Anolis sagrei: one gene and its partners. The protein of the gene in region 4 purifies or fractionates together with the protein of the main gene of each other region. This does not show direct contact. Links are inferred from orthologs where the notes say so. Each region holds a gene or a part of one and is shown on either strand. Other genes may lie near its edges.

What was found.
Region 1: the proteins of SRC (region 4) and CDC37 purify together in Homo sapiens (affinity purification with mass spectrometry; 3 studies listed by BioGRID and IntAct, with this or other methods). This does not show direct contact. The link is inferred for Anolis sagrei from reciprocal best matches to the Homo sapiens genes SRC and CDC37.
Region 2: the proteins of SRC (region 4) and PXN purify together in Homo sapiens (co-immunoprecipitation; 4 studies listed by BioGRID and IntAct, with this or other methods). This does not show direct contact. The link is inferred for Anolis sagrei from reciprocal best matches to the Homo sapiens genes SRC and PXN.
Region 3: the proteins of SRC (region 4) and MET purify together in Homo sapiens (co-immunoprecipitation; 4 studies listed by BioGRID and IntAct, with this or other methods). This does not show direct contact. The link is inferred for Anolis sagrei from reciprocal best matches to the Homo sapiens genes SRC and MET.

What each region holds. Positions count from the first base shown.
Region 1 is NC_090022.1:161,784,332-161,792,206, forward strand, and holds the start of CDC37 (hsp90 co-chaperone Cdc37), read left to right. Parts: upstream 1-4,722; 5' UTR 4,723-4,779; coding exon 4,780-4,881; intron 4,882-7,875. UniProt on the Homo sapiens protein: Co-chaperone that binds to numerous kinases and promotes their interaction with the Hsp90 complex, resulting in stabilization and promotion of their activity. Inhibits HSP90AA1 ATPase activity.
Region 2 is NC_090034.1:45,993,928-46,001,937, reverse strand, and holds the start of PXN (paxillin), read left to right. Parts: upstream 1-4,958; 5' UTR 4,959-5,054; coding exon 5,055-5,067; intron 5,068-8,010. UniProt on the Homo sapiens protein: Cytoskeletal protein involved in actin-membrane attachment at sites of cell adhesion to the extracellular matrix (focal adhesion). Recruits other proteins such as TRIM15 to focal adhesion.
Region 3 is NC_090025.1:131,229,631-131,236,801, forward strand, and holds the start of MET (hepatocyte growth factor receptor), read right to left. Parts: upstream 3,102-7,171; 5' UTR 2,732-3,101; intron 1-2,731. UniProt on the Homo sapiens protein: Receptor tyrosine kinase that transduces signals from the extracellular matrix into the cytoplasm by binding to hepatocyte growth factor/HGF ligand. Regulates many physiological processes including proliferation, scattering, morphogenesis and survival.
Region 4 is NC_090024.1:216,704,566-216,712,057, reverse strand, and holds the start of SRC (proto-oncogene tyrosine-protein kinase Src), read right to left. Parts: upstream 3,157-7,492; 5' UTR 2,398-3,156; intron 1-2,397. UniProt on the Homo sapiens protein: Non-receptor protein tyrosine kinase which is activated following engagement of many different classes of cellular receptors including immune response receptors, integrins and other adhesion receptors, receptor protein tyrosine kinases, G protein-coupled receptors as well as cytokine receptors.

The DNA of each region.
Region 1 (7,875 bases), on a different chromosome or scaffold from region 4:
CCATCAGAAAATACTTAAGGCCATCCAGTCCAACACCCTTCACCAGGGCAAGAATACGTAATCAAATCCCTCCTGACAAAGAGCCATCCAACCATAGATATAGATAGATATATATCATTCACACAGAGATATAGTATCATAGATTTGAAAGGGACCCCCAAAGAAGAACAATTTGCATGTTGCATGTTCCAGAGTAGGCAAACCATACCATCTCCATATCAACACTGACAAAGAAACAAGAAATACTGTTTACCCACAAGCAGAAAGAAATTACATATATTAGAAACCAACACTGTCTCATTACTTTATTTTCCAGATCACCAGACTGGGCCACAGCAATGCGTGGCAGGGGACGGCTAGTTAGAAATATATTTCATAGGCATTGCAATTCTCCTGTGACAATGGAGTAAGACTAGTGTAGCAGTGTTTATTATTATTAGTAGAAGTAATTGTAATTGTTGATATAATGTAATTTTGTTCCATTAAGTTTACAATCCATTTTGTATTACTAATGTAGTCTCTACCATGAAGAAAAATCCCACATGATTACTATATATGGTAACCCTGGAGTTCATTAGTCTTTAATAGTGGAGCCTTCCCATGAAGGGAATATGTGGCATTAACTTCAAACAGCTGATTTGGAGTGTCCTGAAAACAACTGTTTAGTTTACTTGTAGAGTGTTTTCAACAGGGACATTTTCTGCTTCAGATGCCAAAATAACACGGCTTGCTTTGGTGTGGGAGGTAGACAGGAATTTCCTCCTCTTCCCCTGACAGCTAATGACTTGGGACAACCCTGTTCCTTACAGAAACAACAAGTCCTTATATTTCAGTCTTTTATCTTTGGCCATTGCGGTTGTCTAGCTTGTGCATCTGGAACTGCATGGGTAACAAATCTATATAAATAAAAATGTAATGTTTGTTTGTGGGATTAACATAATTCAAAAACCACTGGATGAATTAACACCAAATTTGGACACAATACACCTATCAGGCCAGCGAGTAACCATCACTCACAAGAACACTGAAAAACACAGTGGGAGGGATTTAAAAAGTCAACCCCCCCCCCCAAAAGATACTACAGTGCATGTGCAAAAACATCTACCCCGGCAAACAAAACACACAATAGCATATCCACACTCTCTTCCGGACTACAGATCCCAGCATCCCCTATACCAGGCCCTTTAGGAGAGGAGGACAATCCAAATGAACTGCTTCCAAGATGCAAGTTTTCTTCTCCTTAGATTTCCTGCATACAGGGGCGGCTCAACCCATTACGCAAAGTAAGCATTTGCAATATAGTTGATTTTGCCAAGGGGCGCTCTTGAGGCGCTCTTGGGGGAAAATAGACCTTGACGTTTGCGAGTTGTAGTTACTGGGATGTATAGTCCACCTACAATCAAAGAGCATTCTGAACTCCACCAATGATGGAATTGAACCATATTGCCATATTGCACACAGAACTCCCAGGATGAACAGAAAGTATATATCAGTGATTGGTTGGGGAGGGGGGGGGGGGGGGCAAAATACTGTTTGCTTACCATTGAAAATGACCTAGGGCCGACTCTGCCTGCATATTTCCAATTTTCTTTTCCTGGACTGCAACTCCCAGCATTTCTCCAGATAAATGGATTAGATAGAGATAGATAGTTTGGTAGATAGATTTACCTAGCTCCAGCAGACTTTTGTCTGCTGGAGCTAGGTGTGAATGTTTCAACTGACCACCTTGATTTGCATATAATCAACCCAGTGATTCCGGCCATGAAAGCCTTCGAAAAAGAAAGATTTTCCTGAGTTATGTTGTGTCCCCATACATATTGGTATTATTGCAATGTGTGTAAATATCTGTGTGTCTTATAAGAGGCCAGTTTAACGTCTGGTTTATTCTTAAAACTGAATTAATGTGTCGCTCAATGATACATGTCTAAAAACTGTTTTGCCAGCATGAAATGGTTGGAAAGCTCTGCCCTAAACCAACAGGGGAGTGATATTCATCCTCTAAAGGGCAGGATGGCCTGATAGGTAATTTCTTGACAGAATCCTATGCTGCTGAGGTGAGAAAACATTATAATAATACAGTCAACCCCCCATCTACAAATTCTGCATCCATGGATTCTACCATCCACATCTTCAATATATATAAAAAGATCCAAAATGCAAAACTTAAATTTTGTCGAAGGGATTCCATTTTACTATGCAATGGATGTAAGGATGCGTAGATTTTGGTATCCACAGTGGATCCTGGAACCACTGCATTCAGAGTGCTGATCACCACTGGGACCACCTTTACTGGCTTGTACCAGTTTTGCAGTTTGATCTTTAAATCCTCATACCATGTCAGCTTTTCCAGTTGCTTCTCATCAATTCTGCTGTTGCCTGGGATTACAACACTGATGATCCATACTTTGCTTTTTTCCCCATGATCATGAGGTCAGGAACCAAACAGCAAAGAAAAGAATGAAAGAAAGAGGTAAAGAAGAAGAAAGAAACAGTATTCCTTGTTTTTTCTATGTCAATGTTGATGTGGAGATTGTCTGGTTTGCCTACTCTGGAACATGCGACATATCATTGTCCTTCTTTAGGGGTCCCTTTCAAATCTATGATATTATATCGCTCACTGTGTGTGAATTATATATATCTATCTATATGACTGGATGGCTCTTTATCAGGAGGGCTTTGATTACGTTTTCTTGCCCTGGTGAAGGGAGTTGGACTGGATGGCCTTAAGTATTTTCTGTCGGTCATGGGGGTTCTGTGTGGGAAGTTTGCCCCAAATCTGTCATTGGTGGGGTTCAGGATGCTCTTTGATTGTAGGTGAACTATAAATCCAGGAACTACAACTCCCAATTGTCAAGATTCTATTTTCCCCAAACTCCACCAGTGTTCACATTTGGGCATATTGAGTATTCGTGTAGTTTGGTCCAGATCCATCATTGTTTGAGTCCACAGTGATCTCTGGATGTAGGTGAACTACAACTATAAAAACAAAGGACACTGCCCACCAAACCCTTCCAGTATTTTCTGTTGGTCATGGGAGCCCTGTGTGCTAAATTTGGTTCAATTCCATCATTAGTGAAGTTCAGAAAGCTCTTTATTGTAGGTGAACTATAAATCCCAGCAACTACAACTCCCAAATGACAAAATCATTTTTTTTAGTGAAGGACATACATTGGGTTATTAGGTGTTTTGTGTCCAAATTTGTTGTCAATTCGTTCGTTTTTGAGTTCTGTTAATCCCACAAACGAACATTACATTTTTATTTCTATAGATTTTAAAATTAACGGTCTGGACTAGATGCTATGAGCCATGACAGTTTAAAGTGGGGTCGAGCTGCATTATTTCTACTGTAGACTGGAGCTACACTGCTATATAAATTGCATGCATATAGATCCAGCCAAAAGAGCAAAGGGAAATGTATTGTCGAAGGCTTTCATGGCTGGAATCACTAGGTTCTTGTAGGTTTTTTCGGGCTATAGGGCCATGTTCTAGAGGCATTTCTCCTGACGTTTCGCCTGAATCTATGGCAAGCATCCTTAGAGGTAGTGAGGTCTGTTCTGAGAATCTGTGAACCCCACCTCCTCCAAGATGAACTGAACCACCTCAACTGGGCTCTCCAGGCCAATGGATACTCCACCTCAGACATCAGAAGAGCTGCAAGACCAAGAACAAGCCACGAGAGTAAAGATGAAGATCCACCCAGAGGAAAAGTGTTCCTGCCATACATCAAGGGAACCACTGACCGCACAGGGAAGCTGATGAGGAAACACAACATACAAACAATCTACAAACCCACCAAGAAAATCCAACAAATGCTACGTTCAGCAAAGAACAAGAGGGATCCTCTCTCCTCTGCAGGAGTCTACCGTATACCATGCAGCTGTGGACAAGTCTACATAGGGACCACCAAACGCAGCATTGCCCAGACACGCATCAAGGAACATGAAAGGCACTGCAGACTCCTTCAACCAGAGAAATCAGCCATAGCAGAGCACCTGATGAACCAGCCTGGACACAGCATTTTATTTGCGAGCACGGAAATGCTGGACCACTCCAACAACCACCATGTCAGACTACACAGAGAAGCCATTGAAATCCACAAGCATGTGGACAATTTCAACTGAAAGGAAGAGACCATGAAAATGAACAAAATCTGGCTACCAGTATTAAAAAACTCTAAAATTACAACAGCAAAACAGCAAAGAGGAAACACCTCTCAACAGGGGAATTTTCCCAGGCTCAGCCAGGCCTTCAAATGCTAATGAAGGTGGTCAGCTGAAACATTCACACCTAGCTCCAGCAGAGAAGAGCTCTTTGCCCCACCCCAGCCATTCCACAGATATATAAACCCATTTTCCTATTTCCAATAGACCTCACTACCTCTGAGTATGCTTGCCATAGATGCAGGCGAAACGTCAGGAGAAATGCCTCTAGAACATGATCATATAGCCCGAAAAAACCCACAAAACCTTAAAAAACATTCACATTCAATTAGAACCCCCCTCCCCCAAAATTACATTTTTATTTATATAGATCTCTATATTTACTGGAAGGAAAAAACCCGAAAAAACCTACAAGAACCTAGCAAAGGGAAAATTCCACAGAGTGGGTCCCAGAAGTCAAGGCGGCGCATCACTCTATTTTATCGTAGCTCTGTTGTTTCCCAGTGAGCGTCACAGAGACGAGCAGGAGGGAAGAAAGGGGCGGCGGCGCTAAGTTTGGCGGAAATGACGCACGAGGCATAGCGGAAGTCCGAGGAGGGGCCGCACTAGCCGCAGCGCCATGGTGGATTACAGCGTGTGGGATCACATCGAGGTGTCCGACGATGAGGACGAGACTCACCCCAATATCGACACGCCCAGCCTCTTCCGATGGCGACACCAGGTGAGGGAAAGGCGCCCCGCGAGAGAAAGGGCCTCGCTTTCGGAGCCCCGCAGAGAACTCTCTGGGCTAGGCCTGCTCAGGCTGCGGCCCTCTCCTTGCTTAGGCCTCCAGCTCCCAGGATTCCTGGCCATTGAACAAACTGGCGAGGGCCTGTAGAAGTTAGAGGCCCAGAGATCTGGAGGGCCGCCCTTTGAGGAGGCCTGCATGGCCCATTACTCCACCCTCATGAACATACTTGGGTGTGGTTGTTTTTAATCTATCTATCTATCTATCTATCTATATAAATACTCCATAAAAACAAAAGAACCAATGAACGAAATCACACCAAATTTGGCAACAAAATGTCTCACAACACAAGGAGTGACCATCACTCAAAAAGTTATGATTTAGCCATTTGGGAGTTGTAGTTGCTGGGATTTATAGCTCAACTACAATCAAAGAGCATTCTGAACTCCATCAACGATGGAATTGAACCAAACTTGGCACACAGAATCATAGAATCAAAGAGTTGGAAGAGACCTCATGGGCCATCCAGTCCAACCCCCTGCCAAGAAGCAGGAATATTGCATTCAAAGCACCCCTGACAGATGGCCATCCAGCCTCTGTTTAAAAGCTTCCAAAGAAGGAGCCTCCACCACACTCCGGGGCAGAGAGTTCCACTGCTGAACGGCTCTCACAGTCAGGAAGTTCTTCCTAATGTTCAGATGGAATCTCCTCTCTTGTAGTTTGAAGCCATTGTTCCGCGTCCTAGTCTCCAGGGAAGCAGAAAACAAGCTTGCTCCCTCCTCCCTGTGGCTTCCTCTCACATATTTATACATGGAACTCCCATGACGAACAGAAAATACTGGAAGGGTTGGGCGGGCACTAACCTTGTGTTTTGGAGTTATAGTTAGTTTACCTACATCCAAAGAGCACTGTGGACTCAAAAATGAAGGATCTTGACAAAATTTGGCACAAGTACTGCATATCCACAAGTATGAACACAGATGGAGTTTGGGGGAAATAGACCTTGGCAATTTGGAGTTGTTTATTTATTTATTTATTTATTTCGTGTACTTATACCCCGCCCTTCTCACCCCCGAGGGGGGACTCAGGGCGGCTTACAAAAGGCACATCTTGGTGCCTACACAAATACAATAATATATAAAACCAGCAATTAAATGGTCAACAATTAAAACAATTAAAAACAACAATATATCACACAATCAATAGCCAATCTCAGACACAGCGTTCGCCAACTCAGAATTCATGTTTCGCTCTACCTTGTCCAGTTCCTATCTATCGTCACAGTCCCTTATTCATCTGCCAGATTGCCCAAACGCCTGGTCCCACATCCACGTCTTTAATTTCTTTCTGAATGAAAGGAGGGATGTTGCTGATCTGATCTCCCCGGGGAGTGAATTCCATAGGTGAGGGGCCACCACTGAGAAGGCCCTGCTCCTCGTCCCCGCCAATCTCACTTGTGAAAGAGGCGGGGTCGAGAGCAGGGCCTCCCCAGAGGATCTCAAACTCCGAGATGGTACGTAAATGGAGATGCGTTCGGACAGATACGCTGGGCCGGAATCATATAGGGTTGTCAGGATTTATAGTTCACCTACAATCAAAGAGCATTCTGAACCCCACCAACGATAGAATTGGACAAAACCTTCCACACAGAACCACAACAGCAACTCTGATGACCCTTGCGACACCCCCTCATGACCTCCCTCCGGCATCCCGACCCCCAGAATAAGAAATGCTGCATTAAGGCCATCCAGTCCACCTCCCTTCACCGGGGCAAGAAAACATAACCAAAGCCCTCCTGACAAAGAGACATCCAGCCATAGATATAGATAGTTATGTATGATTCACACAGACACAGATATATGTATATGACAGATATAGTGCCATAGATTTGAAAGGGAGCCCTAAAGAAGGACAATTATATGTTCCAACGTAGGCAAACCAGACAATCGCTACATCAACACTGACAAAGAAACAACAAGAAATACTGTTTACCCACAAGCATAAAGACATTACAGATATATTAGAAACCAGCACTTTCTCGTTACTTTATTTTCTAAATCACTAGGCTGGACCACAGCAACACATGGCAGGTGATGACTAGTAATAATAATAATAATCTTTATTTGTACCCCGGCACCATCTCCCCAAAGGGGACACGGGGCGGCTAACATGAGGCCAAGCCCAAAAATACAATACAGCAAAATAAAATACAAAACAACAGAAAAATTACATCATAACAAAATGCATAAAATAACAAGATGAAATAAACAGTGCAAAATCTATATAAATAAAAATGTTATGTTCGTTTGTGGGATTAACATAACTCAAAAACCACTGGACAAATTGCCGCCAAATTTGGCCACAAGACGCCTACTAACCCAAGAACTGATCATCACTAAAAAAAAAATTGATTTTGTCATTTGGGAGTTGTAGTTGCTGGGATTTATAGGTCACCTACAATCAAATAGCATTTTGAACTCCACCAATGATGGAATTGGGCCAAACCTAGCACACAGGACTCCCATGACGAACAGAAAACACTAGAAGGGTTTGGTGGGCATTGACCTTGAGTTTGGGAGTTGTAGTTCACCTACATCCAGGGAGCACTGTGGACTCAAACAATGATGGATCTGGACCAAGCTTGGCACAAATGTTCCATATGCCCAAATATGAACACAGATAAAGTTTGTGGAAAATAGACTTTGGCAATTGGGAGTTGTAGTTACTAGGATTTATAGTTCACCTACAATCAAGGAGCATTCTGAACCCCACCAACGATGGAATCGGGGCAAACTTTCCACACAGAACCCCCATGACCAACAGAAAATACCATCCAGTCCAACACCCTTCACCAAAGCAAGAAGACGTAATCAAAGCCCTCCTGACAAAGAGCCATCCAGACATAGATATATATGATTCACACACAGAGAGATATAGTATCATAGATTTGAAAGAGACCCCTAAAGAAGAACAATTTGCATCTTGCAT
Region 2 (8,010 bases), on a different chromosome or scaffold from region 4:
TACAACAGCCAACAGAGTGATCTTGTTTGCTGTGTACTAATCTTGTTGTGTTTCAAATAATAACCATAACAACATTTAATTTCCATATTTACATGGTTCTAATGCTCACCTTTATATTAAATTACTTTCCCAAAATTAGAGCGCGCATTAGATTTGTGTAATACGGCAAATACTTTTTGGGGTTTCAAGGTTTTGAAAATTGAGATGCGCATTAGATTAGATGGTGCACTAGACTTGAGTAAAGTATTACCTGCCTCTCCTGATGGTCCAAGGCGGGGTGCAAAAGCATGCAAACATAAATTACTTTTACTTAGGCGATCCCTCGTTCGCCGAGTAGGATAGTCTTCCAGGATCAGTGTTCTGGTGGGTCCATAGGTAACTGTGGAGCCCTATCCGTGAGGGCATTGGTTTCCAGGTGGGAAGCGGTCTCAGTTGGGGTTGGCTTGATGCGCCTTCCTCTTGGCACGTTTCTCTCTTTCGCCCTCCATTTGTGCCTCTTCAAATTCTGCAGCACTGCTAGTCACAGCTGACCTCCATCTGGAGCGCTCAAGGGCCAGGGCTTCCCAGTTCTTAGTGTCTATGCCAGAGTTTTTAAGGTTGGCTTTGAGCCCATCTTTACATCTATTTTCCTGTCCTTCAACATTCCATTTTCCATTCTTGAGTTCGGAGTAGAGCAACTGCTTTGGGAGACAGTTGTCAGGCAGATGGAGATGATGGCAGAGGACCATCGCTTCAATGCTGGTGGTCTTTGCTTCTTCCAGCACACTGACATTTGTCTGCCTGTCCTTCCCAAGAGATTTGCAGGACTTTCTGGAAGCAGCACTGATGGAATTGTTCCTGGAGCTGCATGTGACATCTGTAGACAGTCCACGTCTCGCAGACATATAGTAGGGTTGGGAGGACAATAGCTTTATAAACAAGCACCTTGGTATCCCTACAGATGTCCCGGTCCTCAAACACTCTCTGCTTCATTGGGAAAAATGCTGCACTCGTGGAACTCAGGCGGTGTTGTAGTTCGGTGTCAATGTTGACTTTGGTGGAGAGGTGGCTGCCAAGGTAGCAGAAATGGTCAACATTATCTAATGTTACACCATTAAGCTGTATCTCTGGCATTGGAGAGGGGTTGGCTGGTGACTGCTGGAACAGCACTTTGGTTTTCTCGATGTTCAATGACAGGCCGATTTTTTGGAGGATGGTCCAGAGAGCGCTGTGATTCACTGTGTCAAATGCCTTTGCAAGGTCAATGAATGCCATGTACAGAGGCAGATTTTTCTTGGAGCTGTTGTGCAGTTAAGACCATGTCCACGGTTCCTCTGGAGTGGTGGAAGCCGTTCTAGGATTCTGGGAGGGTGTCTTCTGAGAGGGGTAGAAGGCAGTTTGCAAGGATTCTTGCTAGGATTTTCCCAGTGAAGGTTAGAAGGGAGATACCTCGATAGTTTCCACAGTCCATTCTTTCCTCTTTTTTGAAGAGGGTGATGATGGTGGCATCCTTGAAATCTGCTGGGATTTTCTTGGTCACCCACACTTTTTCTATGAGCTGGTGGAGTTGTTGTGTCAGCTCAGGTCCTCCCTCTTTAAAGATTTCAGCAGGGATCCCATCAGGTCCTCTGGCTTTGTTATTTTTTGTTGGTTGATGGCATTGCTGACTTCTTCCAGATTAGGCAGTGCTGCAAGCTCATCCCTGGTTTGTTGTTGTGGGATTTGTGAGAGAACCTTTTCGGCCACATTGGAGCTGCGATTCAGGAGAATTTGGTAGTGTTCTTTCCAACGTAGTGTAATTGATTTTTGGTCCTTCAGGAGTTTGGTTCCATCTGATGAGTGTAGAGGCTGTGTGCCATGGTTTCTTGGTCCATAGATGACATTTGTGGCTTTGAAAAATCCCTGAGCATCATGGGTATCTGCCAGGTGTTGGATTTCTTCAGCCTTCTTTGTCCACCAGATGTTCTTGAGTTCTCTTGTCCTTCTTTGGACCTCAGCTTTTGCACTGGTGTAGATCTTTTTCTTAGCAGCACAGTTGACGTCTCTCTGCCATGTTTGGAAGGCTTTCCTTTTCTTGTCAATTAGCTGTTGGATCTCGTCATTTTCATCAAACCAGTCTTGATGCATCTTGGTTTGGTATCCAATACTTTCTTCACAGGCTGTGATGATGGAGGTCTTCAGTTTATTTCAATGTTCCTCAACATTTTCGGGGTGTTCTGTGGGTAGATGGTCCTTGAGTGCTGTTTGGAGATGGGTTCAATTTGAGGGCTCCTGAAGGGCTTGGGTGTTCATTTTGCACCTTGTCTTTCTTCCTTGGAGTCTGCGCTTGGGTTAGGATTAGCCTGTGGTCTGTCCAGCAGTCGTCAGCACCTGTCATGGCTCTTGTGAGGAGCACGTCATGGCGGTCTCTGGCACGTGTGATTCCTTAGTCTAAGAGGTGCCAATGCTTTGACCGGGGGTGCTTCCATGATGTCTTGAACTTGTTTTTTTCTGGCGGAAGAGCGTGTTGATGCCAAGGTTGTGTTCTGCACATTTGGTGAGAAGCAGGATGCCATTCAAGTTGCTGTTTCAAACCCCGTCTTTTCCTATGGTCCCTGGCCACAGGTCGAAGTCTCGCCCGACTTGCATTAAAGTCCCCCAGGAAGATGATTTTGTCCTCCTTAGGTATCTCCGATAGGACGGTGTCCAGCTGACAGTAATTTTTTTCCTTGATGTCTTCATCAGCATCTAGTGTTGGTGCATAGGCACTTATGATGGTTGCCTGTTAGTTTTTGGCAAGTTCAATTCGGAGGGTTGAGAGTCGTTCATTGATGCCAGTGGGTGCTTCGGTCAGATGTTTCACCAGATCATTTCTGATAGCAAAGCCAACTCCGTTCATTCTTTGGTCTTCTTCGGGCAGTCCCTTCCAAAAGAAGGTGTAGCCTCCTTTTTCTTCCTTCAGCTGTCCCTCTCCTGCTCTCCGGGTCTCCTGAAGGGCTGCTGTGTCGATGTTAAAGCATCCCAACTCTCTTGCAATGATGGCAGTTCTGTGTTCGGGGTGTTCACTGTCAGTGTTGTCCATCAGTGTCCGTACATTCCATGTACCAAAGTTCATTTTCCTTTTTTGGCCGCAGGGTGGTGACCCCACTGGATGCGGCAGTCCAGTCAGGGATAAGAGAGGCAGACTATGTTTAGGGCACCTTTTCTAGCCCCTTCCTCATGTGGGGTGAGCAGAGTGGATCCTCAAAAGGGCTACTCAGTCATGGATACAGCTGCCGAACTACTCAACTGCCTCGGACCTTGAGGTAGAATGACTGAGTCCATATCCATCCATGTGCCAGTCTGTGACTAGGGGCTTCCATATTTCACAGTCCTGCCCCCGTCACCACTCGCTGATCGCCATGGGACTTTTGTAGGTTTGTTTTTATTTTCTTTGGAAGACGCCTGTGCATGAGTTTTTTTAATGTGCGGAGGTCAGTGCACACTGATCAACACACAGTCTTCACAGAGTGAGGTTCCACTGGTGATGTAGTTTAACACAATGACCGTGGCTTCTCAATCTGTTGCAGCCTTCTTCCGTCTTCACAGCCATTGTAACATGTACCATATTATCCTCCGCCTGCTCTGCCATTGAGGTCTTTGGGTCTTCAGACTGTGCTTGGTCTGGAACCTCCCCCGTGGCCACTCCTGGGATTGCACGATTCCAGTTGTTGTGCCTGCAGTTTCATTGGAACACGCAAGCCCCCTCACCACGACAAGGTGACAGTCCATCGAGGGGGACGAACATAAATATATATACAGTATATATAAGAATGATTGACAACTGGAAAATAGAGGGAGAAAACGTGGAGGCCGTGACAGACTTTGTATTTCTAGGTGCAAAGATTACTGCAGATGCAGACTGTGGCCAGGAAATCAGAAGACTTCTTGGGAGAAGAGCAATCTCCAGTCTCGATAAAATAGTAAAGAGTAGAGACATCACACTGGCAACAAAGATCCGCCTAGTCAAAGCCATGGTATTCCCTGTAGTAACCTACGGATGTGAGAGCTGGACCTTAGGAAAGGCTGAGCGAAGGAAGATAGATGCTTTTGAGCTGTGGTGTTGGAGGAAAGTTCTGAGAGTGCCTTGGACTGCGAGAAGATCCAACCAGTCCATCCTCCAGGAAATAAAGCCCGACTGCTCACTGGAGGGAAGGATACTAGAGACAAAGTTGAAGTCCTTTGGCCACATCATGAGGAGACAGCAAAGCTTAGAGAAGACAATTGTGCTGGGGAAAGTGGAAGGCAAAAGGAAGAGGGGCTGACCAAGGGCAAGATGGATGGATGGCATCCTTGAAGTGACTGGAGGACCTTGAAGGAGCTGGGGATGGTGACGGCCGACAGGGAGCTCTGGCGTGGGCTGGTCCATGAGGTCACGAAGAGTCGGAGACGACTGAACGAATGAACAACAACAATATATAGACAAACATAAATATATATATACAGTAAATGACATAGATAAAAACACAAAAATATATTTTTAAAAACTTGCATCAGGCATAGTTTGGTGAGGCATGAGCATTCTTGGGCAGAGAAAGCCACAGAAATAATCAAACTTCCAGGATCCCATAGCAATGAGCCATGCCAGTTAAAGCATTGCCAAATTGCACTTATTCTGCTTCCTAAAAGAAGCATCAAAGAATGTCATGGGTTCTGTCTCCTTAGGCGTAGGCACTAGGCAGATATTCTCTGAACACTTCTGGTCTCCTGCATTTGTCTATAGTAGTACACCATTTCCCAGATTTGCACAGAAGCGATTGAACACAGCTTCTGCCTAGGCCTTCTCTGCCCCGCTCCCAATTCTTTCCTTGCGCCTCCCAGGCGCTGCCACTAGGGGAGTGGGCGGCGCTGTCGGGCCGCCTTAGTTTTCGAAGGTGCCTTCTGCGCGTGCGTCGATGCTCGCGCCCCGAGGGGCGGTCCTGGCTGGGCCAGGGGAAGGGAGGGGGAGAGGGCAGGGGGCGTCGCGCGCAGGCGCGGGGCGGCCAAGCAGAGGCCAAAGTTGCGGCGCCTCCAGTCAAGCGGCGGTCGGAGCGGGGAGCGGCGGCGGAGGAGGAAACATGGACGACCTGGGTGAGCAAAGAATCCGCAAGGCCAACCCAACTGGGGGGGGGGGGGGGTACGCCTTTCCCCACCAGACTCTCCACAAAACTACCACAATGCTCGTCTTTCTCCTCAGAACTCCTCACTCAACTCCCAGGATGCCCATCTTTCCCTTCAGGACGATCACAATTCCCATCTTTTCCCTCAGAATGATCACAGTGCTCCACAAACTCCCCAGAATTCCCATCTTTCCCCTCAGAATTATCACAGTTTCCCTCACAATTCCCATCTTTCCTTTCAGAACTATCACAATTCCCGTATTTCTTTCAGAACTATCACAATTTCCATATTTTCCCTCAGAACTACTACAATTCCCATATTTCCCCTCAGAACTATCACAATGTCCTCCAAATTTCCCCTCAGAACTATCACAGTGTCCCCCACAATGCCCAAATTTCCTCTCAGAACTATCACAGTGTCCCTTACAATTCCCATATTTCCCCTCAGAACTATCACCATTTCCCTCACAACCCCCAAATTTCCCCTCAGAACTATCACAATGTCCCCCAAATTTCCCCTCAGAACTATCACAGTGTCCCTCACAATCGCCAAATTTCCCCACAGAACTATCAATGTCCCGTCACGAATCCCATGTTTCCCCTCAGAACTATCCATTCCCATCTTTCCAATTAGAACTATCACAATGCTCCTTACATTTCTCTCTCTCAGCTCTATGCCTTTGCTCAGTTCCCCTCCAAGCACTCCCTCCTTCTTTTATGTTTTGTTTTGTTATTTCCTTCTCCCTTTACTGGTGGGTTTTTTTGTTTGCTTTTGTTTTTTGGAGAGTGGGAGAGCAGTCTGGTTGGTGCCTTACATTAGAATCCTCCCCAGAATCCCTGTCCCAAGTTTTCAGTTCCTTTCTTCCCCTTTCGCCTCGGTTTCCCCAACCTTACTTTCCACACAATTCTCTTGCATTAGGAAGTCTTCCCCTCATCTAAACTCACACCTCCTTCCTTTGCCTTGAGCTTCTCCCAAATGCTTGGGACCAGTTGTCTTTTGGGATTTTGCCTGTTTTCCCTTTCAATTTGAGAAGTGTTTGCATAGGCATAGGAGATGGGATCCAAGTCCAAGCTCCACATTCCTTTCTGTTTCATAGACACCTTAGAAACACAGCCAGGAGGTCTGTTTTTCATATTGTGGGGCACAAAACAAAGTTTGTTACAGATGGAAACTCACGTCCAAACTCCACATTTGTTGCTGTTTCATAGATCTTTGAAACACAGCTGGAAGGTCAGTTTACACACCATTTAAAAAATACATTTCTGCGCGAAACAAAAGTTAACTACCTTGAACCGTCAGAAAGCAAAGTGTTTGCTATTGCAACATTTTGGGATTTTGGAGCATTTTGGGGATTTGGGAAAAGGGCTGCTTAACCTGTATTTTTATGTTCCTCACCTCTGTTCCCAGTCCTTTTGCTCATAACCTCATATTTTCTCCTTAGGTCTCTTTTTTTTACAAAACCAAAATTGGGAGAAAAGTATTCTGACATGTGTCCTCCTCAACATGCTTTGGGGAAGGAAGAGAAAATGACCGATCGAGTAAAATCAAATATTTTTCTTGATGTACAAAAATTTCAGGCTGATCCTCTAGGAAGCAACGATAACCTAAAAATAACAGCGTAGTTCCCATTCTGCCAACCAAAATGTGATGCCAAGTAGTGAGCAAACTTTTGAATCCCCCCAGGAGTTCAGCATTCTGGTTTTGCTTAAAAACCAACCTGCAGAATTGCTTGGAAGAAGTTCACAGTTCGCATACTATTCTGTGTAATATTTTTATTTAGCCCTAATAAAGATGTTTGTCTTGCAGTTGCTTTCAGGTTGCTGCATTCTGAAGTGGAAGATTCTTTTGGTTGAACAAAAATGAGTTGAACAAGCCTCTTCTGTTGGCTTTAATATTGAATAACTGCTGTTGAACGTGGAATTGGATTCTGTGTAAACATGGTTAAGATTGGGGATGACAACATGGTTCAATTCAAGCTATGTATATGGCGTTTTGCAAACCTTGGATATAAGTTCTTGTTAGCAAAGAGTCTTTTCAAATGAAAAAGTCATTTTATTTTGTAAATTTTCTGAATTTTTACAAAAACAAACAGGTTGATCGCTCCTTACTTTTTGATATATCTCATAATATGGCTTTAGGGATATTCTTTCTGTACAAAAACCTGCAATGAATAAGTTAAAAGTTTTCCATCTCTTACTTTCCTTTAGGCTAAATTCAATTTTAGTCCCAACTCCAACGACTCACTGCAACGAATATTACTTGGTTCATCACTTTTTCTGCAAGTACCATTTCAATAGATGTAGTGAAGCTGTATGTAAAACTTAATCTAGCCCCTAGCTTACCCTCAGGCTCTGAAAGCTTTTTCACTTTGCCACTTCCCCAGTCTAGACTCAGAAATTGCCTGGACATTTGCCAGTGTATATGTATTGTGGTCTCAGTTTACTCTTCCTTCCATGTTGGCATGTTAGACTCCTATTGTGATTGTTTCCCTTTGCCAGGTGTACCTCATACCCCAGGCCTGCACACAATACCAAAAAGTACGTTCCATAGAACTTAATGGAGCCTACTTGTGAGTAAACACAAGAGTGCATTTAGTATGGCCACCCCCCTTCCCGTCTGCAAAACTTAGCCTTGGTTGGGATGGTTGTAAAAATGGTTCACAATCCAAAAAGTAAGTTGAGTATCATGTTATACTTTCAGCCTTTTTATGTGCTGTGTTTAAATGCTTTTGCCATCAGTGTCTTGCAAATGCAGCCATTTTCATATATATTTTCCACAATTCTAATTGTATTGCAGCAGCCAGTGGGAGTTACCAAAAATGTTAAATGTCTGAATAGTCCTGTTTAGTTTCTGGCAGCCTCTTTTCCCTTGTGACATTTGCATATTTATTTAATATGTTGTATTTCAACCATT
Region 3 (7,171 bases), on a different chromosome or scaffold from region 4:
TTTTCTGAGTGTTCAATGTATTGTCGAAGGCTTTCATGGCTGGAATCACTAGGTTCTTGTGGGTTTTTTCGGGCTATAGAGCCATGTTCTAGAGGCATTTCTCCTGACGGAGAAATGCCTCTAGAACACGGCTCTATAGCCCGAAAAAACCCACAAGAACCTTTCTGAGTGTTGTTCTTTATTTACTATCCCAATTTTAGAGTTTCTGAAATACTGGCAGACAGATTTTGTTGATTTTCAATCAGGGCCAGCTAATCACCTCCCAACAAAGGAGTCCTCCAGGCAGGAAGCAGCCAAGCTTTGAATCTGAAAGGCCATTCAATGCTAATCAAGGTGATCAATTGCAGCATTCACACTTGCCTCAAGCAGGCAAGAGTTCTTTCTCCCACTTTGGACATTTCCCCAGGCAGGAAATAGCCAAGCTTTGAAGCTGAAAGACTATTCAATGCTAATCAAGGTGATCAATTGCACCATTCACACTTGCCTCAAGCAGGCAAGAATTCTTTCTCCCACCCTGGACATTCCACAGATATATAAACCCCACTTGCCTAGTTTCCTAAAAAACTCACAATCTCTGAGGATGCCTGCCATAGATGTGGGCGAAACATCAGAAGAAAATGCTTCTGGAACATGGCCATACAGCCCGGAAAACTCACAGAAACCTGGAAATTGGTTAACTTTTGAGGAGAGGCTACCTGGCTATCGTGCAACTTGGCAACCTCACTTGTTAATCCAATACACATCCAAGGATAGGAAAGCACTCTGCACATGCTCAACCTCCCTCTCTGTTGCTATCATTACCGCCACATAAGGAATGACCCTTGGCATAGAGGGAAGGATCCATGAGGCTGGGCCCTGCTGAGTCTAGGCAGGTCTCCAAAAAAGCGGTGGCAGCCAAATTCCAGGCACTTGGTTTCCTTTACGAAAAGCAGCAACCCTCCTTGATCAACAACATTTGAAAAGACAAAACCCAACCATCGCCACCACCCTGAAGGGAAAAATATCAACACACACATGCATACACATACTCCCTTCAAAAATATATATAGGAGGAATAATGCCTCCATGGTTGTCTTGATAAAGCTATAATTGAAGTCTTGGGGGAGATAAAGTGGGATCTAAATAAAATAATAATAATAATAATAATAATAATAATAATAATATGTATTTAGTAGGAGAAATAATGCCTCCATGGTTGTCTTGATAAGGCTATAGTTGAAGTTGCTTTGAGCCCCTCTTGGGGGAGATAAAGTGGGGTCTAAATAATAATAATAATAATAATTATTATTATTATTTAGTAGGAGGAATAATGCCTCCATGGTTGTCTTGATAAGGCTATAACTGAAGTCACTTTGAGTCCCTTTTGGGGGAGATAAAATGGGGTCTAAATAATAATAATAATAATGATAATAATATGTAGTTAGTAGGAGGAATAATTCCTCCATAGTTGTCTTGACATGGCTATAATTGAAGTTGCTTTGAGTCCCTCTTGGGGGAGAAAAGGTGGGGTCTAAATAAATATATTATTATTATTATTATTATTTAGATTTATAATTAGATTATAATTTAGATTCTCACCTAAACTTGGGAAATGTTTAGCGCGTTTGGTGGGGACACGGGACAGGGCCTTTTCTGTGGCGGCCCCCCGACTCTGGAACGCCCTCCCAAAGGATCTCAGACAGGCCCCCACTCTGGCCGTTTTCAGAAGGAATTTAAAAACTTGGCTGTTCCGTTGTGCCTTCCCAGACTAGGAACCCCCACCCCAAGTCCTAGTAGCACTTTAGCATAACTAACTGTCGCTGCACACCACACTTTTAATCTTACGTGCCTCCTGCCATTTCAGCACTTTTAACCCTTGTGCCCCAGTGCGCCGGCTGAACCAGTTTTAATAAGGTCTTGATGTACTGTCATTGTCGTTATTTTTGCTTATTATCTGATTTGCTTAGTTATTGTGGAGTTATGTTATTTTGTTTATTGTTTTGATTTGCTGTTATTGTGATGTTACGTTTTACTGTACTGTGTTTTGAGGCTTCGGCCTGTGTAAGCCGCATCGAGTCCTCCGGGAGATGCTAGCGGGGTACAAATAAAGTTAATAATAATAATAATAATAATAAATGTCAGAGGTGAGATCCAATACAACAGCCAACGCAGTGATCTTGTTTGCTGTGTACTAATCTTTTTGTCTTCCAAATCCTGATAATTCACCTGGATGTTGGCCTGAATGCTTTCAGATAGCCTTAGGAATGAAAGGAGGCGCCTCCACCTGCCTTCAGCAGCCAGGTTTCATTTACACAAAGGAGGGATTCCCACCTAAATGTTTTCGAACGGGCATGGGCCAACTTTGGCCCTCCAGGTGTTTTGGACTTCAACTCCCAGGAATGGTGGGAGTTGAAGTTCAAAACACCTGGAGGGCCAAAGTTGGCCCATGCCCGTTTTAGATGAACCTCCCGATGGCAAGAGCTTCCTCTGGAGGTTGTGAAGCAGAGGCAAGGATGGCTATCTGCCGGGAGGGCTTTGATTGCATTTTCCAGGGAGGGCTGGACAGGACGGCTTTTGGGGCGCCTCCCAACGCAAGGGAATTGAATCAGGAGACGAACTCCGCACGGTTCAACAAAACCCAACCATGTGTACGCCACTAACTTCTGGGAATAAGGCATAAAGGCGCTGGAACAAGTGGCACTGGCAGCCTGGATGCCTCTCCCTCTTCCCTTCCCTTTCCCGGCTTGATTACCTTGATTGCTGGAGGCGAGGCGTCTCGGTTCAGCCGCCACGCACGGGGATGCCTTGGCTTCAGCTCCCGCCACGGAGCCCTCGCTTTCCACGCCTGGCGAGGAAGGAGGGAAGGAAGGAGGGAGGGAGCCACCTGGAGGGAGGAGGCGCCTGGCGACACAGGGAAGGAGGGCGGGCGGGCTGGCTGGCGGGGCTCTCTCTCTCTCACTCACTCTCTCTCTGCCGCGATGGTGGCGGCTCCCAGCGGCCAAGGGGCTGCCCCTCCTTCTCTTCGCCTCCCCAGTCGCTCCTCCTGACCTGCCCGTGACTCACGAACCGGAGGGAAGCGAAAGGAGGCGCGAAGACAGCACAGCAGGCGTTGAGTGGACCTGCCCGCCTCCCCAGAAAGCCTACGGTGGCCACACAAGGAAGGAGTTCCCGCAGTCACTGCTACTGACCCGCCTCTTCTCTCTCCCACAGAGGCTGGGTCTTCTATAAATGCCGCGATCCCCTTCATACAGTTTCTCATGTTGTGGGGAACCATACAATTATTCTCGTTGCTACTTCATAATAGTCACTGTTATGAAGCGTCGTGTAAATAATGTAAGTTGGCTAAAGCTCAGGAATGGGCAAACCCAGGCCCTTGGGTTTTTTTTCTCAGACCCTCCCCCCCCCCCCCTCACACATACACACACACACCATCCTATCATTCCTTCTCTTTCCTTCCTCCTTTTCTCTCTCCCTCTGTCACTCTCCCACCATCCTATCATTCCTTCTCTTTCCTTCCTCTTCTCTCTCTCTCTCTCTCTCTCACAAACACACACAATCCTATCATTCCTTCTCTTTCCTTCCTCCTTCTGTCTCTCACCATCCTATCATTCCTTCTCTTTCCTTCCTCTTTTCTCTCTCTTTCTCTCACCATCCTACAATTCCTTCTTTCCTTCCTCCTTCTCTCTCTCCTTCTGTCACTCTCTCACCATCCTATCATTCCTTCTCTTTCCTTCCTCCTTCTCTCTCTCTCTCACCATCCTATCATTCCTTCTCTTTCATTCCTCCTTCCCTCTCTCTTTCTCCCCACTTCCTTCCCTTTCAAGCTTTCGTCCTTCTTTGCTCCCTCTTTCCCTTTCTCCTTCCTTCCTTTTTTGTCTTTTTTCCCTTCTCTCTTTCCTTCCTCCCTTCCCTCGTTCTCCCTCCCTCCCCCATTCCCTTTCACCCTTTTGTCCTTCCTTCCTTCTCTCTTTCTTTCCTCCTTCCCTTCCTTGCACTCATCTCTTCCTCCCTTCTCTTTTTCCTTCCTTCCTTCCTTCCTTCCTTCCTTCCTTCCTTCCTTCTTTCTATCCATCCATCCATCCATCCTTCCCCTCCATCTTTTGATCCTTCTTTCCCTTTTGTCTTTCCATCTGTTTCTCTTTCCTCCTTCCCTCCATTCTCTTCCACCTTTTCATCCTTCTCTTCTACCCTTCTCTTTTACCTTCCTGCCTTCCATCCTTCCCCTCCAGCATTTCGTCCTTCCTTCCCTTTTATCTTTCCTTCCTTCTTTCTTTCATCCCTTCCCTCTTTCTCCTTCCCTCCATTCCCTTCCACGTTTTCGCCCTTCCTTTTCTTTTTCCTTCCTTCTCTTTCCTTCCACCTTCCATTCCTCCTTCCATCCTTCTCTTCCTTCTTTTTCCTTCCTTCCATCCTTCCCCTCCACCCTTTGTTCTTCCTTTCTTCCCTTTTGTCTTTCCTTCCTTCTCTCTTTCCTTCCTTCCCTCTTTCTCATTCACTCCATTCCCTTCCACCCTTTCATCCTTCCTTCTCTCTTTCCTTCCTCCTTCCCTCCCTCCCTCCTTCTCTTGTCTTCCTCCCTTCTTTTTCCTTCCTGCTCCCTCCCTCCCTTCATCTTTCCCCTTCACCCTTTTGTTCTTCCTTCCTTCTTTTTCTCCCTTTTGTCTTTCCTTCCTTCTCTCTTTCCTTCCTCCCTTCCCTCTTTCGCCTTCCTTCAAATAGTGTTATCCTTTATCTGAAATGCTTGGGACCAGACAAATTTGTGGTTATTATTATTATTATTATTATTATTATTATTATCATTCCCATTATTATTATTACTACTACTATTTGCAGTTTGACTCCACTTTAATTGCCCTGGCTCTATGCTATGAAATCCTGGGAGTCGTAGTGTTGTGTGGCACCAGCTCTCATTGGAAGAGAAGGCTAAAGACTTTGTAAAACTGCAGCTCCCAGGTGCCAAATTATGTTAATCTTACAGTGTAGATGCACCCATCGAGTCACCATGGAGTGCCTAGAAATTTGTTAAGTCCCATATTTGAATTTGTATTATGAAAACATGAAGTTCTTGGTTGCCTTAGAGAGCAAAAGAGTTTTTTTGCATTGCAGGTCACTGGTATAGCCTTCTTTCCAATCATCCATCTATCCATTCATCTATCCACCCATCTATCAAATAATATGAAATATAACCTGATGAGACACCATTGTCATGCATATGGTTTTTAAATGTTTATTTATGGTTTTTAAATGTGTATTTATGTTTATGTTATATATTATTTATGTTTAATATGTTATATATAAGTTTAATTGCTGTTGATTTAATGCTGTTTTTGATTTGTTGAAAACTGCTTTGGGTCTTTTTGGGGAGAAAAGCGGGATATAAAGAATTATTATTATTATTATTATTATTATTATTATTATTGTCTGATATGCAGGATGTATTTTCATTCACTGAACCACATTTGGCATAAATACCTGATATGCCCAAATTTGAATACTGGTGGGGTTGGGGGGGGGGGGAGTTATTGATTTGTTTCATTTGGGAGTTGTAGTTGTTGGGATTTAGAGTTCACCTACAACCAAAGAGCATTCTGAACTCCACCAATGATGGAATTGAACCAAACTTGGCAGACAGAAATCCCATGGCCAACAGAACATACTGGAAGGGTTTGTTGGGCATTGACCTTTAGTTTTTGGAGTTGTTGTTCACCCACATCAAGAGAGCACTGTGGACTCAGACAGTGATAGATCCGGACCAAACTTGGCACAAATTCTCAATATGCCCAAATGTGAACTCTGGTGGAGTTTGGGAAAATAGACCTTTGACATTTGGGAGTTGTAGTTGATGAGATTTATAGTTAATCGACAATCAAAGAGCATTCTGAGCCCCACCAATGATAGAATTGGGCCAAACTTTGAAGGGGGTGACTCGAGCCTCCCTCCAGCCTCATACGCTCTCCCTTGCCTGCAAATGCGCACAATGCTGCCATGCTCCAAGCATGCCTGCTCTCCCCTCCCTGGTTGGAGTCTCAGAAACAGCTTTCCCCTTGGCTGAGAGGCTAGCTGAGAGGCTGGCCAATCACAGCAGGAGGAAGGATTTTGGTGGGAAGATTCACTAACTGTTTCCAAAAGGAAGAGAAGGACAAGCAGATAGATCTTCAGCCTCCTCTGCCAAAGGGGTTCTTAAGACCATCAGAAATATATGTTTTCTGATGGGCTTTGGAAACCCTTCTGAAACCCCCTTGTGACCTCCATCAGGGTTCCTGACCCCCAAGTTGAGAAGTGCTGCTCTACACTGTTGTATATGCCAGGGTCTGATCCTATAATTATCTGCTTTAAACTGGATTCTATGAGTCTACACCACCACATAATCTGAGATCAGTTCCTGGAATATCCCACAGTGTTGATCCAAACCTAAACTAAATGAAATGCCACTTGTTATACAAATAAAGGGTTGCACTTCCTTATAGGGAAACACCTGGGCCATTTGAGAAAGATGCACTTTCACTTTGCCTCTAGTTCCATCTACACTGCTATATAATCCAGTTTTTGGATTCAGGTGATCTGCTTTGGACTGAATTATATGAATCTACACTGCCTCCTCATCCAGTTCAAAGCAGATGATTCAGAAACTTGATTCCAGGCAGTCCTCAAGTTGGCAACAAAATAGGTTCTGCGGGTTTGTCCTTAAAAACTGAATTTGGATGTAAGTCAGAACTATAATATCCCCTTCACTTTTCTTTTAGCTCCAATCTTTAGGAGCAACATATTCTAAATAAAAATAAGTCTAATCGTGTCTGACTCCGAGGTGTGTTGCAGAAGCTGGGGCTAACAGTGGGAGATCACCCCGCTCTCCGGATTCAAACCACCGACCTTTCAGTCAGCAAGTTTAACAGCTTAGTGAACGGGGGAGGGGGCTCCAAAACTCTCTCTCTCTCTAATATATCTCCTTGTTTTTGCACACACACACACACACATTCTTATTCCAATCACTTTGGATAGCATAGGGAAGGGTTAACACCTTTGCTTTGCTGTCTGTGTCAGCAGATTTCACCTCACTTTCTGCCCCTGTGAATACGATTTTGCAAAATTTGGCTTGTTGTGGAAACAAAGATTGGCGATAAAGCATTGGAGACACCTTTCCCCCCATTATAACTCTTTTCAAGAGTTAATTTCCCTTCCGTGAGGTAGATTT
Region 4 (7,492 bases):
ACAATAACAACAACAGGGGGTGGGATTGGGGGGGGGGGGGGTTGGGCTGGAAAAGCCCTTGAAATGGGTCGTGTTATTAATATTTCATCTCTTGGCCTAGATAACAGCTCCTGGGTTGCCCTCTCCCCCTCCCTCCTGCCCTGGTTTCTTTTCCCCCAAATGATTTGATTCTCAGTGTAAGAAGCGGGAGGGAGGGCGAGGGAGGAGGGCACCTGGGACCAGACAGGAAGCCCCCTCCCCTCACTCCCATAGAAGCAGACACTGAACCACAACAAAAGAAAGCCCCCCCCCCCCCCCCAAGGATCCTCTTCCCTGGCGGCCAAGCATCCTGGCCTGCATCCTTTCACGCACACTGAGCACAAACAACAACAACAACAAGGCATCAGAACCAGGCTCTGCCTTTCTTTCCCCGCCTTTACTGAAAGGGAGAAAGATGAACCCACTCAGTGGAAATAGCTGCCATTAGAATAAAAGGGGAATTCAGGAGCAGGAGCAAAGAGATACATACACATACATATACACACAATATCCATAACCCACTTGTATTTTTTGGCTGCTACAATACATCTTAAAAGAATACAGGTGTTAGCCATTTTATTGTAATTGTATCATAATTGCTTTTAGGGTATATGTTGTAGTGTTTTACTCATGTTTTAGTTTACTATCACTTATTGGTTTGTTTTTTTTAATTATTTTCATCACGATGGATAATTCTTCGTTGTATGTTTACTGTTGTTTTTGTGCATTATCTTGTATTATTTTGATGTGTTTGTATTTACTTAAGGCATTGAATGTTTGCCTTTTTGTTTTGTGTCTGTAAACCATCCTGAGTCCCTTTGAGGATAGAGGGCGTTCTAGAAATAAAGTCCTATTATTAATATTATTGTGTTGTCAAAGGATTTCATGGCTGGAATCAATGGGTTGTTGTGAGTTTTCCGGGCTGTATGGCCATGTTCCAGAAAGCATTATCTCCTGACGTTTGGCCCACATCTATGGCAGGCATCCTCAGAGGTTGAGGGGTTTGTTGGAAACCAGTTTTTTAAAAACTCTAAAATCAGAACAGTAAATAAAGAACAAGCCTCAAAAAGCAGGGGAATTCCAGATAAGAATTCATCAGGGTCAGCGAACACCTCCCAACAAAGGATTCCCCCATGCAGCAACTAGCCATGCCTTGAAACTGCAGGCCATTAAATGCTAATCAAGGTGGCCAATTGCAACGTTGACACATGCCTCCAGCAGACAAGAGGTCTTTCCCCCACCCTGGACATTCCACAGATTATTTATTTACTTATTTATTTATTTAGAGCATTTGTATCCCGCCCTTCTCAACCTCCAAAGGAGGACTCAGGAAGGCTTAAACCCCATTCTTCTAGTTTCCAAACAGACCCCTCAACCTCTGAGGATGTCTGCCATAGATGTGGGCCAAACGTCAGGAGAGAATGCTTCTGCAACATGGCCATACAGCCCGGAAAACTCAAAACAACCCATTCCAATGTAATTGTATCATAATTGCTTACAGGGTAAACATTGTAATGCTTTTCTCAGGTTTTAGTTTACCATCTCTTACTGGATTGCTTTTCAATCATTTCCATCTCGATGCTTAATTGTTGCAAGTGTACGGTTGTTTCTGTGCATTATCTTGTATTATTCTTATGTATTTTGTATTCATTTGAAGGTATTGAATGTTTGCCTTTTTGTTTTGTGTCTGCAAACTGCCCTGAGTCCCTTCAGAGAGAGAGGGCGGTCTAGAAATAAAGTTTTATTATTATTATTGGGTTGTTGTAGGTTTTTTCGGACTATGTGACCTCACAACCTCTGAGGAGGCTTGCCATAGATGCAGGCGAAACATCAGGAGAGAATGCCTCTAGAACATGGCCAGTTGTTGTAAGTTTTTTCGGGCTATGTGACCTCAGAACCTCTGAGGAGGCTTGCCATAGATGCAGGCGAAACGTCAGGAGAGAATGCCTCTAGAACATGGCCATATAGCCTGGAAAAACCTACAACAACCCAGTGATGAAAGCCTTCGAAAATATTATTATTATTAATCCATATTCCTTTTTCTTGAAGGAAGGAGAGGAGGAGAAAGAAAGGGATATTCAGACATGAAATTCGAAACACAGACACGTGCTGCAGACTCTCAGTTAACCGGCACCCATGGACAAACTTGGGCCTTTCCTTCCAGGTGTTTTGGACTTCAACTCCCACCATTCCTAACAGCCTCAGGCCCTTTCCTTTCCCCCCTCAGCCGGGGAAAGGAAGGGGCCTGAGGCTATTAGGAATGGTGGGAGTTGAAGTCCAAAACACCTGGAGGGTCTAAGTCCCATCCAGCCAAGTAGTGAGCTGTCTCCTTCCCTGCAAACAGGAGAGACGCTTCTCTCCACCGGCGGAGCGGCTTACCTTCCTTCCTCTTTCCTCCGCCGGCTTTTCGGTCTCAGCTGATAGACGACGTCTGCTTGGCTTCCTCCCTTCCTTGGTGTGCTTCTCCCTCTTCCCAAACCCAAAGGAAGGAAGGAGAGGGGGGCTCAGTTGGAAGTAAACAGAGGCAACCCAGGAGGAGAGGGAGAGGAAGGCGGCCCAGCGAGGAAGCGCCGCGTATTCATTCAGGAGGAGCTTTGCTAGGACGGGAGGCGCGCCTGGGTCTTGCCTTCCTTCTCTCCCTTCTTTTCTTTCCTTCGCTGGAGACTTGAGCCTCGAAAGGGACCAGAACTTGGACGGCTTGCGAGAAAGTGATGTCAGCAGCAGTCCCTTCGCTGCGGCTTCCAGAAAGCCCGGCGTCTCCTTTCTCCTTCTTCTCCTTTTCCTTCCTCCGGAATGAGGAAGCCTTGGAGCGCCTCCTCCGACCCGAAGAGCATCCAAAGGGAGAGGAGAAGGCGAGCAGGACGCAGCTCTTCCTTGCCTCCCTTCGCTTGCGCTGCTTTATTTCCCTTTCCCAGCGGGTTTTCCTCCCCTGCCTTTAAAATAAAAAAAAGGAATATGGCAGCAGAACCGGAAGCTGGGGGGAGGGGAGAGAAGGGGGGAGGACAAGCTGCCGCCTCCTTGGCTTGATTTTTGGGGGGAAAGAGGAAGAGCGGAAGGAAGGAAGGAAAGAGGCGGAAAGGAGCCGCGCGACTCCGTCCTGCCCGGGCAAAAGGGGAGGGGGAGGAGGAGGAGGGTTGGAGGGAGGTATGACGTCGCGGTGAGTCAAGGCGTGACGTCTACGAGGCGCTTGCTGACGTCGGGCGTGGTGTCTGCCTGGAGGAGGAGGAGGAGGAGGAGGCCTTGGGGAGGGTGGTTTATAAAGGGAGGGGGTGGATTGTGGTCCTCAAGGGCTTCACGTCTGGGAGAGAGGTGGATGCTCTCTTCCTGAGGGTCGTAGGACTTTTTTCTCCCCCCTCTACTCAATTTCCCTCTTAATCATTTCGGTGGGGATCTTCCTTCCTCCCTCTCCTTCCTATCTTCTCTCTTTCCCCCCTCTTTCTCCTTCCTTCCTCTCCTTCCTATCTTCTCTCTTTCCCCCCTCTTTCTCCTTCCTTCCTCTCCTTCCTATCTTCTCTCTTCTCTCCCTCTTTCTCCTTCCTTCCTCTCCTTCCTATCTTCTCCTCTCAAAATAGAATAGAGGGGTAGCATGACTTCCCTAGATCTAGACACTATGCTCCTATTGATGCAGGCCAAAATCCCATTGGCTTTTTTGTGATGTGGCGGCAAAAAAAGCCAATGGGATTTTGGCCTGCATCAATAGGAGCATAGTGTCTAGATCTAGGGAAGTCATGCTATCCCTCTATTCTGTTTTGGTTAGACAACACCTGGATTATTGTGTCCAATTCTGGGGACCACAATTCAGGAGAGATATTGACAAGCTGGAATGTGTCCAGAGGAGAGCGACTAAAATGATAAAGGGTCTGGAGAACAAGCCCTATGAGGAGCGGCTTAAGGAGCTGGGCATGTTTAGCCTGAAGAAGAGAAGGCTGAGAGGAGATATGATAGCCATATATAAATATGTGAGAGAAGGCCACAGGGAGGAGGGAGCAAGCTTGTTTTCTGCTTCCCTGGAGACTAGGACGCGGAACAATGGCTTCAAACTACAAGAGAGGAGATTCCATCTGAACATGAGGAAGAACTTCCTGACTGTGAGAGCCATTCAGCAGTGGAACTCTCTGCCCCAGAGTGTGGTGGAGGCTCCTTCTTTGGAAGCTTTTAAACAGAGGCTGGATGGCCATCTTTCAGGGGTGATTTAAATGCAATATTCTTGGCAGGGGGTTGGACTGGATGGCCCATGAGGTCTCTTCCAACTCTTTGATTCTATCTTCTCCTCTCTTTCCTCCCTCTTTCTCCTTCCTTCCTCTCCTTCCTATCTTCTCTCTTTCCTCCCTCTTTCTCCTTCCTTCCTCTCCTTCCTATCTTCTCTCTTTCCTCCCTCTTTCTCCTTCTTTCCCATCTTCTCTCTTTTCTCCCTCTTTCTCCTTTCTTCCTCTCCTTCCTATCTTCACTCTTTCCTCCCTCTTTCTCCTTCCTTCCTCTCCTTCCTATCTTCTCTCTTTTCTCCCTCTTTCTCCTTCCTTCCTCTCCTTCCTATCTTCACTCTTTCCTCCCTCTTTCTCCTTCCTTCCTCTCCTTCCTATCTTCTCTCTTTTCTCCCTCTTTCTCCTTCCTTCCTCTCCTTCCTATCTTCACTCTTTCCTCCCTCTTTCTCCTTCCTTCCTCTCCTTCCTATCTTCTCTCTTTTCTCCCTCTTTCTCCTTCCTTCCTCTCCTTCCTATCTTCTCTCTTTCCTCCCTCTTTCTCCTTCCTTTCTCTCCATCCTTCCTGTCTCTTTCTTTCCTTCTTTCCTTCCTTCCTTCCTTCCTTCCTTCCTTCCTTCCTTCCTCTTTCCCCTCAAAAAATCTGAAAAGGAGATAGGAAGGTCCAGTAATTCCCCCTGTTTTGTTTGCTCAAACAGAAATTTTCCACGTAAAACCATGGAGTTGTTTTCCCCTCAGGTAAGCATGGAAGGGACTGCCCCACCCTCTAACATAGTTGTTCTCAGTCTGTGGGTCCCCACGTGTTTTGACCTACAAATCCCAGCCAGTTTGCCAGCTGTTAGGATTTCTGGGAGTTGAAGGCCAAAACATCTGGGGACTCACAGGCTGAGAAACACTGCTCTAACACAGGCATGGGCAGACTTCAGCCCTCCAGGTCTTTTGGACTTCAACTCTGGCTGTTAGGAATTGTGGGAGTTGAACTTCCAAACCCCTGGAGGGCTGAAGTTTGCCCATGCCTGTTGTACCTTCATCCAGGTGCCCAAACCCTTCTCATCTTGGAAGCAAAGCAGGATCAGCCCTTGTTCATACTGGGATTATAGAATCATAGAGTTGGAAGACCCTTAATCATTTTAGTCGCCCTCTTCTGGACACATTCTAGCTTGTCAACATCTCCCTTCAATTGGATACAGTACTCCAGATGTGGTCTGATCAAGGTAGAATAGAGGGGTAACATGACTTGGAAGAAACCTTGTAGGACATCCAGTCCAACCCCCTGACAAGAAGCAAGAAAATCGCATTCAAAGCACCCCTGACAGATGGCCATCCAGTTGTTTAAAAGCCTCCAAAGAAGCTTTCACCACTCTTCGAGGCAGAGAGTTCCACTGCTGAACAGCTTTCACAGTCAGGAAGCTGTTCCTAAGGTGGACTCTCCTTTCCTGTAGTTGGAAGTCATTTTTCCATGTCCTAGTCTCCAGGGCGGCAGAAAACAAGCCTGCTCCCTCCTCCATATGACTACCTCTCACATATTTATGCAAGGCCCTCTTCATGTCTCCTTTCAGCCATCTCTTCTGAAGGCTAAACATGCCCAGCTCTTTAAACTGCTCCTCATAGGACTTGTTCTCCAGACCCTTGATCATTTTGGTTGCTCTCCTCTGGACACACTTCAGCTTGTCAACAGCTCCTTTCAATTGCGGTGCCCAGAATTGGGCATAGTATTCCAGGTGTGGTCTGACCAAGGCAGAATTGAGGGGTAGCATGACTTCCCTGGATCTAGGCACTAGACTCCTATTGATGAAGCCCAAAATCCAATTGGCTTTTTTTTTTTTTTTGCCTCCACATCACATTGTTGGATCATGTTTAACTTGTTGTCCACGAGGACTCCAATATCTTTTTCACACGTACTGCTCTCGAGCCTGGCGTCCCCCATTCTGTATCTTTGCATTTCATTTTTTTCTGCCTAAATTGAGTATCCTGCATTTGTCACTGTTGAACTTCATTTTGTTAGTTTTTGCTCATCTCTTTAATCCGTTAAGTTCATTTCGAATTCTGCTCCTGTCTTCTGGAGTATTGGCTATCCCTCCCAATTTAGTGTCATCTGCAAACTTGATGATCATGCCTTCTAACCCTTCATCTAAGTCATTAATAAAGATGTTGAATAGGACCGGGCCCAGGACAGAACCCTGCTTATGGCACTCCGCTTGTCACTTCTTTCCAAGATGAAGAGGAAACATTGGTGAGCACCCGTTGGTTTCATTCACTTAACTAATTACAGATCCATCTAACCGTAGTTTTGCCTAGCTCACATTTGACTAGTTTGCTTGCCAGAAGGTCATGGGGGACCTTGACGAAGGACTTTCTGAAATCTACGCTACATCCATGGCATTCCCTGCATCTGCTGTCAACAAATGCCAGGTGCTGTACACTACCTTTCAAAGGAAGGAACAAGCAAAACCACCTCTAAATATTCCTTGCCTAAGAAAACCCTATAGGTAAGACAGAACTACCGCCATATGGCTGGGTCTTAGGTGTGATTACCTGGGAATGATAACCAAGGAATTAAATGAGGCTCTTTTATTGGTACAGATCTAGCAGATGAGAGTCTTTAACAGCTTCCAGGTGCTTCCAACCCATCTAGTCAACTCAGATGTATCAGTCTTCCTATAGGTTATAACTCATGGGATGAAACTGAGTTCAGTGGAAGAGTGCAATGAAAAATGAAACAAGAAGCTTTTTTTGCCCAAGTCCCTAAAGAGGTGCTGCCAAGTAGAGCAGGCAGTACTGAGAGAGATGGATCGATACCTTCTGCATCTCTGTGTACATTATTTTCTTAACTGGAGTTTTTGCTGGGGGCGGGGTGATAATTCAAAGTAAAGGTTGCAACCTCAGTCTAAAATAGGAGCCGTCATGCCCTCAGCTGTTGATTTTTTTCTGTACCTGCGCCAGTAGAAACTATAAAAGCACATAGCCTGGGCAAGGATCTAAGAGTCTTGGTTGATCAAAAGCTAAACACACGCCAATGCAGTTCTGGACTGTATCAACAAGAATATATTGTCTTACTATTGACAGAAGTTGTTGTGCCACTGTGTTCCACTTTGGTCAGAGCTCATTGGAATACTATGTGCCTTTGTGAGCACCACAATTCAAGAATATTGACAATCTGGAATGTGTCCAGAGAAAAGCAACCCAAGCCATTTCTGTACCTGCACTAATAGAAGTTAAAGTACAGTCACATTACGGCAACATATGGCAAGGATCTAGAGGCCTTAGGCCCCTTT